Sus scrofa: one gene and its partner. The protein of the gene in region 1 purifies or fractionates together with the protein of each later gene. This does not show direct contact. Links are inferred from orthologs where the notes say so. Each region holds a gene or a part of one and is shown on either strand. Other genes may lie near its edges.

What was found. The genes of interacting proteins can lie anywhere in the genome.
Region 2: the proteins of EYA2 (region 1) and ACAD9 purify together in Homo sapiens (affinity purification with mass spectrometry; 3 studies listed by BioGRID and IntAct, with this or other methods). This does not show direct contact. The link is inferred for Sus scrofa from reciprocal best matches to the Homo sapiens genes EYA2 and ACAD9.

What each region holds. Positions count from the first base shown.
Region 1 is NC_010459.5:48,929,186-48,933,900, forward strand, and holds the start of EYA2 (eyes absent homolog 2), read left to right. Parts: upstream 1-1,496; 5' UTR 1,497-1,610; coding exon 1,611-1,663; intron 1,664-4,715. UniProt on the Homo sapiens protein: Functions both as protein phosphatase and as transcriptional coactivator for SIX1, and probably also for SIX2, SIX4 and SIX5.
Region 2 is NC_010455.5:71,409,220-71,413,235, forward strand, and holds part of ACAD9 (acyl-CoA dehydrogenase family member 9, mitochondrial), read left to right. Parts: intron 1-487; coding exon 488-662; intron 663-1,355; coding exon 1,356-1,444; intron 1,445-4,016. UniProt on the Homo sapiens protein: As part of the MCIA complex, primarily participates in the assembly of the mitochondrial complex I and therefore plays a role in oxidative phosphorylation.

The DNA of each region.
Region 1 (4,715 bases):
TGGCTTTTTGCTTTCTTTCCCCTGCTATTCCTGGATCCTATGTAGTAAGGATGAGGCCTGGCAGGCCACTCAGACCACCTGTGCTCACCCTGCCCCCAAGTACCTGAAAATCATCTTGGCAGAGCAGACACAGAAACAGGGGACCTGATTAACCCAATGGCTGAGTGTTGCCTAGAGGAGGTATTTAAATCACTAGATTAGATAGATTCTTTTTTTTTTTTCTTTTGTCTTTTTAGGGCCATACCTGCCGCATAGGGAGGTTCCCAGGCTAGTGGTTGAATTGGAGCTGTAGCTGCCGGCCTATGCCACACCCATAGCAACGCCAGATCTGAGCTGTGACAACTCAGGGCAATGCTGGATCTTTAACCCACTGAGTGAGGCCAGGGATTGAACCTGTGTCCTCATGGTTACTAGTCAGATTCATTTCTGCTGAGCCATGATGGGAACTCCTAGATTCTTTTTATGAGAGTTTTTAAACATTTTTTCTTCTTTAAGGTACTATTTAAGGGGTCAGCAAACTTTTTCTATAAAGGGCCAGAGAATAAATATTTTAAGTTTTCCAAGCTTTACAGTGTCCATCATGAATTCCGTTATTAAGAAGACAGCCTTAGGCATTTGTAAACAAATGGACTTTATGGACACTTAAATTTGAATTTCATGTAATTTTCAAGTGTCATGAAATATTTGAAACCATTTCCAAACACAAGAAGATCTTACAAAAATAGGCCACAGGCAGATTTGGCCAGTGGGCCAGAGTTCGATGGTCCCTATATTATTTGACCTGTGAAAAAAAAATATACATTATAAAGCATAATAATAAACTCAAAACCTATGAAGCCAGCACCCAACTTAACCCTCAAAATATGACTAGAACCATTGACTCTGTACTTTCTTTCTCCCATCACCCTGCCTCCCTCCACCCTGTCCCAAGGGGACCTCGTTCTCAATTTTGTGTTTACCTTTCAGCTTTTTCTTCCAGTTTTATCAAATATGTAAGTTTCCCTAAGCAACATTTGCAAAAATTCTGCTTGTGTGAGAGCTTTATAAAAATAATCTTGTATTGTCTGTAATTTACAGGGACTGGCTTTTCAAAAGTGACATTTTATGGCTCAGAATTATCCATTTTTTTCATGCAGCTGTGGTTCATTCATTCCCACTGGACAACGTTTTAACCAAAAAATAGATGAGTACATTTCTTTCCATGGAAGAGGACTCGTGAGGAACTAGTTATTTAGAAAATACATTTCCCCATATATCCATCACCTGGATGCATCTGCCTTGTTTCCTCTTTTGCTTGCAGCTATTTTTTCCTTCCCTAGCAAGCATGTGGGCAAGCATAGCCATCTCCAAACCTCCAGTCTCTGTATCCTTACTACGACACTGGGGGCCAGATCATTCTCCCAGGTGGAGGCTGTCTTGTGCATTGCAGAATGTTTAGCAGCATCCCTGGCCTCCACCCACTAGATGGCAGTAGTATCCCCAAGTCGTGACAACCAAAAAGGTCTCCAGGCATTGCCCTGGAGGACCATACCACTCCAGGTGAGACTTGCTGAACTGTACACGTGGACTGTTTTAAATTTGAGCAAGAGCGGAGACCACTCAGTGATTGAATGTCACATGTTCTATTCCCTGGAGAACAATCTGACCACCCCACTTTTATCAGGTGAGTTAACAATGGTCAATGAGCAGCATGGGGGTGGGGGGTGGGGTCACATGGTAACCAAACACTTGGCCTTGGGGGACGCCTTCCACGGGTCTTTGGAGGCTGTTCCCTGAGAACAGGATCCTGGGCTGGGTTAGATAACCGCCCAAGTGTGTATTACTCCGGTTCATTTTATCACTGAGTATCCAAACTCATATTTCACGGAGGGAATTTAATACAAGGAATTGATTAGTAAGGTGTTGGAAGGGCTGGAGGAACAAGACGGAGGTGTGAGGTTATCAGAATCTACAGGCTTGGTGCCTCCGAGTCTGCTGCTGATGGGAACGAGCTGCCTGGGCAGGGTCAGAAGCCACATGTCACTCTGCCACCACCACTGCTGGTGGTGCTGCCAGTGTCACCTGCGAGAGGAGCTGGGAAAATGGCCTCTTCCTTCTCCCACCTTCCATGAACTCAACAATGGCCTCCTGTCGGTAGAACCTATAGGAAGCCTGCTAACAAGGAGGGATGGGGGTGGGGGGGCTGAGAAATGTGCCACTTTCTGCCCCTGCAGTGGCGAAGAGAGTGGGCACGTGGAGTTGACAGTCCATCTCATTCGTCCAATTTACTCACTGATTTCATTCTGAGGAATGCTTGAAGCTCGTGTTTATTTCATTCTTAGGAATTACTGCAGCCTTTGATTGGTAGGATAGCTTGTGTTCCTAAATGCCGTGAAATAGCACCAGTATTGTCTTAATCAGAATTCTCTAGAGAAGCAGAACCAGTAGGAGATATGCCGTGAGGGGGGAAGGGAGGAGCTCTATTATGTGCAGCTGGCTCATGCAGTTAATGGAAGCTGAGAAGTCCCACGATCTACAGGAGACCCAGGAAAGCCAGTGCTATCTATAAATCTTAGTCTGATCCGGAGACCTGAGGACCAGGGCCCTCACTAGACCATGGAGAGATGGTGAGGTGGTTGGACAGTTACAGTTGTGGAGTCTCCAAATTGTCACTTTGAAAGGATGTAGATCTGCCTCATATTTACTGAGCAATTCTAAGTATGATCCAGAGAGATCAGTAACACTTGAAAGGCCAAAGATTTGATCCACGCCTTCCAAGAGGTTACAATCTGGACTTCCTTGGTGGCTCAGCAGGTTAATGATCTGGCGTTGTCACTGCTGTGGCTCATGGCACAGGTTTGATCCCAGGCTTGGGAACTTCTGCATACCTTCTGTATACCTGGAAAAAAACCCCAAACAAAAGACGTAGAGGTTACAATCTAATTGAAGAGACAAGATGTTCACTCAAAGAACAGATTGAGAACAAAGAGCAATAATTCAGTGATAATATAAGCCAAAGATGGTGAGCATGTGGCATGGATATTGCAACTCTACATTCCCAGACCCATGACAGGCAGTACTGACTGATCACAGCATTTTTTTTTCTTTGATGAATCTGAATTCAGTCTCAGAATTCTCAGTACAGGGGTTCAGGCATTGACTCAATCTCTCCAAATTGATAGAGACTCCTAGGTACAAGTTCAGTGATTTCTATTAGATAAATAATTTATCTGATCAACAAAAATGACTAACAGCCTAATGTATACTAGGCACAGAGCTGGACACACTGGTGAATACCACAGGAAGACTCATGCTTGTGGCCCAGAGTCTAGGGAGGGAATCAAATGAGCCAATAAGAAACTACAGTGCAGTGATGTGAATGTTAATATGTGGAAAATACAGGGTTCTATGGATGGACAGAGGAGAAACAAAATCTAGACTGGAGGAACAGGGAAACCTCTAAGTTGATACCTGAAGGATGGACAAGAGTTAACCAAAGAAAAGGGAAAGTGTGTTCTTGAGAAACTCTCTAGTCGCAGTTGACAGAAACTTAGCCCAAGTTGCCTTAAGCAACAGGGGAACACATTGGCTCATGTAAGTGCAAATTCCCAGAGTAGCTGACTTCAGGTATGGCTGGTTCCAGGTGCTTAAATGATAGCATTAGGAAACTGTCTCTGTCTCTTAGATCTGTATTCCTCTGTGTGGCTTCATGTTCAAGCAGGTTTCTCGAATGGTGGCAAAGATGTCCCCGAGGCACTCCAGGCTGTCGTTCTGTCTCCAAAACCCCAGTAGAACGGTACCTCATGACATTGCCAGCAAAAGTCTTAAGGTTGACTCCAGTCTGGCCAGGCATGGGTCCTATTCCACCTCCCTAGTATGATCACATCTATCCAAATTATGCAGACAGATCTGAGGGAGGGTGGGTTCCCAAGGAGATTGAGATGCCATTACCAGAAGAGGGCATTATGCTGGGTCAGCAAAAAATAACTGATTCTGGGCGAGAATTCCAGGCAGAGGCTATGAAAACCAAAGAGAACCTATGATGCTTTGGAGGAACTGGGGAACGTCCAGGACAGTTGGTGCTGCATCAGAGCTTGCAGTGTGAGAGACGACTCTGGGAGGCCAGGTCCCTAGGGTGTGTGAACCACCTTAGAGTTTGCCTTGATTCTAAGGGCGGTGAGAAGCCACTGCAGGATTTGAGGAAGGAGATTCGGCATTGCCTTCACACTTGTTGCATTAACAGCTTTGCAGAGGGTAAGGAGAGAGGCCAGAAGCATCGCTTCTCAAGATTAGACCTTGGAAACAACCCTCTTGAAGCCATTTGGTACTCAGGTTTTCCCGTGAAACCCCTTCAGGCGATGTGTGCACCTCCAATTGATAGAACAAGCTAGAGAGGCTTTTCCAGGATGAAGTGGCCCTCTGGTCATCATGCTCTTTGCTATGATTCCTCAAGTGATTTCACTCCTCAGCTGAAAGAAGTTGCTGCTACTAAGGGCCACACCGTGCCCCGCGAGTTTTAAAAAAGTGCTTCTTCTTGGAGTTCCTGTTGTGGCGCAGTGGTTAACGAATCCGACTAGGAACCATGAGGTTTCGGGTTCGATCCCTGGCCTCGCTCAGTGGGTTAAGGATCTGGCGTTGCCGTGAGCTGTGGTGTAGGTCGCCGACGCAGCTCGGATCCCTTGTTGCTGTGGCTCTGGTATAGGCCGGCAGCAACAGCTCCCATTGTACCCCTAGCC
Region 2 (4,016 bases), on another chromosome or scaffold:
CGGTGGGAACTCTGATTGTTTTTCTTTGTTTTGTTTTGTTTTTTGTTTTCGTTCACTTTTTTTTGGAATTTGAAACATGTAAAAGTTCAGTCCTGAACTTCCATCCCCTGTCTCCTGGCACAGTGTGTCCTCTGTTACATCGCCACCTCTGCATGGCATCGTGATGGGTCACAGTGGCCCCATCTCTGCAACTACTGTACATTTAAAAAATGATTCTGATTTCTTACCACCTGGCATTCAGAATTCCCTACTGTCTCATACCTGTTTGTTTTTCAGTGTGCTTGACTTAGGGTCTAGATAAGTTCTGTACGGAGCAGTTTGTGGAGAAGTCCCTCTCCCCTCCCCCTCCTCCACCTCCCCCCCTTCTGGCTCCTTGCTGCCTCTCTCCCACCGTCAGCCTGGCCTGTGGTGTGACCGAGAGCTGGCGCCCTGAGGTGGCACCTAGTAGTTTGGTTCTCTCTGGAGCCCTCTTGCTTTCTTTCCTCAGGTCTGGATCACCAATGGGGGGCTGGCCAGTGTTTTTACTGTGTTTGCGAAGACCGAGGTTGTTGACTCCGACGGCTCAGTAAAGGACAAGATCACAGCATTCATAGTAGAGAGGGACTTTGGTGGAGTCACCAGCGGGAAACCAGAGGATAAGCTAGGCATCCGAGGCTCCAACAGTAAGTATCAGGCGTGTGTACATGTGAGAGAAGGAGAGGCAGAGAATGAGATTTTTATCTTGATAAAAAGCTGTCAGAGGAGGCCCAGCAGGTTAAGTATCTGGTGTTGACATTGCCGTAGTGCAAGTTCAATTCCCTGGCCTGGGAACTTCTACATGCCACGGGTGTGGCAAACAAAACAAAACAGAGAAACACCAATATCTCAGATCTCAAGATAAAATGAGACTGAAATAGTTGGGGTTCCACCCAAGCACATTGGCAGAATCAGGTCTGGGCTGCCTTGGGGCCCCTCCACAGCAGTGCAAGGGAGCCCTGTGGAATAACTCAGTGCAGTGGGCACAGACATGCATCCCCACACTCGGGCGGGGACGGTGTTGAGGCAGTGGTGGGGTTTCTGAGGGAAGCATTGCTAACTGCAGAGCCCCGCCTGCCCTTCCCGACACCTCCTTCTGTCCTCACTCTCCTGCTGAGACCGACCTGCAGCACTCCCAGTTGAGGCCAGGGTCCATCAGGGGCCCTTGTCCTGTCCACTGCTGCCACTCAGCCTCAGGAGACTGCTGCTTGGGTCTTCAAGCTCAGACCTTGGAGGGTCTGAACCAGCAAGTGCCTAGACTGCGCCACCTGCTTGCTGGCCAAGGGCGGGGTACCCCGTGCTCCCAGTGACCAGTGACCAGTACCAGGGTGAGGTCCCAGTTTCGTGTGTTCCAGCCTGCGAGGTCCACTTCGAGAACACCCGGGTGCCCGTGGAAAATGTCCTCGGAGAAGTTGGCGGCGGCTTTAAGGTGCGTGGCCCTGCGGGTGGTGTGCCATCCTGTGTGCAATTGCAGGCCCCAGCTTCCTGTCCCCTCCCCACTAGGTGACAGTGTGTAGCACCTGGTTGGAAGGCCAGCAGGATGCAGACAGGTCTTTCCAGGGAGGGGTGGGTGTGGGCGCACTGGGTCTCCTCCACCTGAGGCCTCATCTGCCTGGTGCAGAGGTCATTTCCTCCCCCAGCGAGTGAGGAGCAGCCCAGGGCCCCAGGAGCGCAGACTGCACTGTCCTGGGGCTTGACTCCCTGCCCTGACGTTTTTTCTTAGATTTAGATTTAATATTTTTTTAACTGACAGGTGATTCTCATAACAAAGTTTACCATTTTCACTCGAACAGTTTGGTGGTCTGTTCACTGTATTATGCAGCCATCTCTGTGTCTGATTCCAAACTTCCCATCGCCCCCGAAGCAAGTGCCATGCCTTCTCGTTTCTCCTCCCCAGCCTTTGGCAGTCGCTATTTTACTTTCTGTGTCTGTGGATCTGCTGGTTTTGAATGTTTCCTTTGGCTGGAATCCATGGGTGGGCTCCGTCCCGTAGCATCATGTTTTCAAGGAGTATCCAATCTCTGGCAGCTGTCTCTCCTTCTTAGGGCTGAGTACCATTCCCTCGAATGGCTGCACCATGTCTCGTTCCTCCATCATTGGTTGGTGGACATTTGGGTTCTTTCACTTTTTGGCCTGTATGAATAATGCTGCTGTGAACATCCGTGAGCATGATTTTGTGTGAACAGGAATGCAGGGTCATACAGTATATGTTCGGCTTTTTGAGGAACCACCAAATTCTTCCTCAGCGGCTGCCCCATTTCACTTTCCACCAGCAGTGTGTCAGGGTTCCGTTTGTCCGCATCCTTGCCAGCACTCATTATTGCCCATTTTCAAAGTCATAGCCAACCTATTGGGTGTGAAGTGGTATCTCCCTGTGGTATGCATAGCATTTTCCTGATGATTAGTCATGTTGAGCATCTTTTCACATGCCTGTTGAATGTTTATTCCTCTGGAGAAATGTTTTTCCAAATCCTTTGTCCCTCTTTAAGTTGGGCTGTTTGTGTCTCTACTGCTGCCCTGCCCTCATGTACTGGGTGGCCTGGGTTAGAGTATTCACCTCGGGAGCCGCCCCCACCTTAGCTGTGAACAGGGATCAAAGCAGACCCTCCCTGGCCTCCTGGCCATATAAGAATCAGTGAAGGGCCATCAGTCAGGGTTCTGGGAGCATGGAGTAAAGGGTGGGAGAGGGGGAGGCACACGAGGTGTGTCGTGTCCGGATGTCACACCCAGGAAAGGACATGGGGTCCCTGAAAAGCCCCCCGCCTGATCTTCACATCTTTAGTGCTTGTCTTCCTAGATCTTTTTAGAGAGTTTACATCATTGAAATGTGCGCGCGCGCGTGTGTGTGTGTGTGTGTGTGTAGCCTGCATTTGTCACTTAGCAGGTCTTCCTGGCAGGCTCTGACTAGGGAGTGTGACTTACTGGCGTTCAGAGCCACACAGTCTTTCCTCATGTGGTCACGCCATGTTTACATCCCTGGGTCCCGGGATCAAACATTTAGCACTGTTTCCACTTCTTCCCCACTCAGGACCACATCGTGTGTCATGTGTCCTTATACACATCTCACATACTTGTCTCTTCATTTCCTGAGTTTAAACACCACCAGTCAAGTTACCAGGGTCAGAGGGCGTGGACATTTTTTTAAGTTCTTGGTCCATGTTGCCCCCTGCCTGCCAGACAGCTGGACCGGTGCCTGCTCTGCCTGCTCCCCCACCGGCTATGTGTGAAGTTGTTTTTTGTTTTTTTTTTTTTTTTTTTGTCTTTTTGCCATTTCTTGGGCCACTCCCGCGGCATATGGAGGTTCCCAGGCTAGGGATCGAATTGGAGCTGTAGCCGCTGGCCTACGCCAGAGCCACAGCAACGCGGGATCCGAGCCGCGTCTGCGACCTACACCACAGCTCACTGCAACGCCGGATCCTCAACCCACTGAGCAAGGGCAGGGATTGAACCCACAACCTCACAGTTCCTAGTTGGATTTGTTAACCACTGAGCCACATCGGGAACTCCTATGTGTGAAGTCTTATCTCCATCTTTGCGAACACTGCATGAAGAATTTTTTTCCATTGCGTTAGATGAAGTGATTGTTTGAATAGGCAAAAGGGAGCCTATTAAATCAAAGCTCTTTTTTATGCTGAGTGAGATTGCCTGCAGTTGGTCTTGGTACCAAAAAGTGCTGTGAGCTGGGGTGGTCCCACATGTCACAGGCAGGACGACCCTAGGCCCAGTGAATGTTGATGCCCACGAAGGGTAAAGTGAGTACTTGCTCTGGACCATTAGAGGCTCATCAGGCACAGAGGCGTGCAGTGGGGCTGTGGAGAGGATGGACATGGCCGCCCAGTTGTGAGAGGAGGCTGCTTCCTGAGAGAAGGTGGTAAAGCTGCAGGACCAAGGTCAGGTGGGAGGGACACCCGGGCCCTTCAGGTGAGGCTGAGTCTGCCCTCCTCCTGGGACCGAGGCCTGGTGTCCAGTCCTTTCCTCCTTTTGTCCTTGTTTGAAGTGCA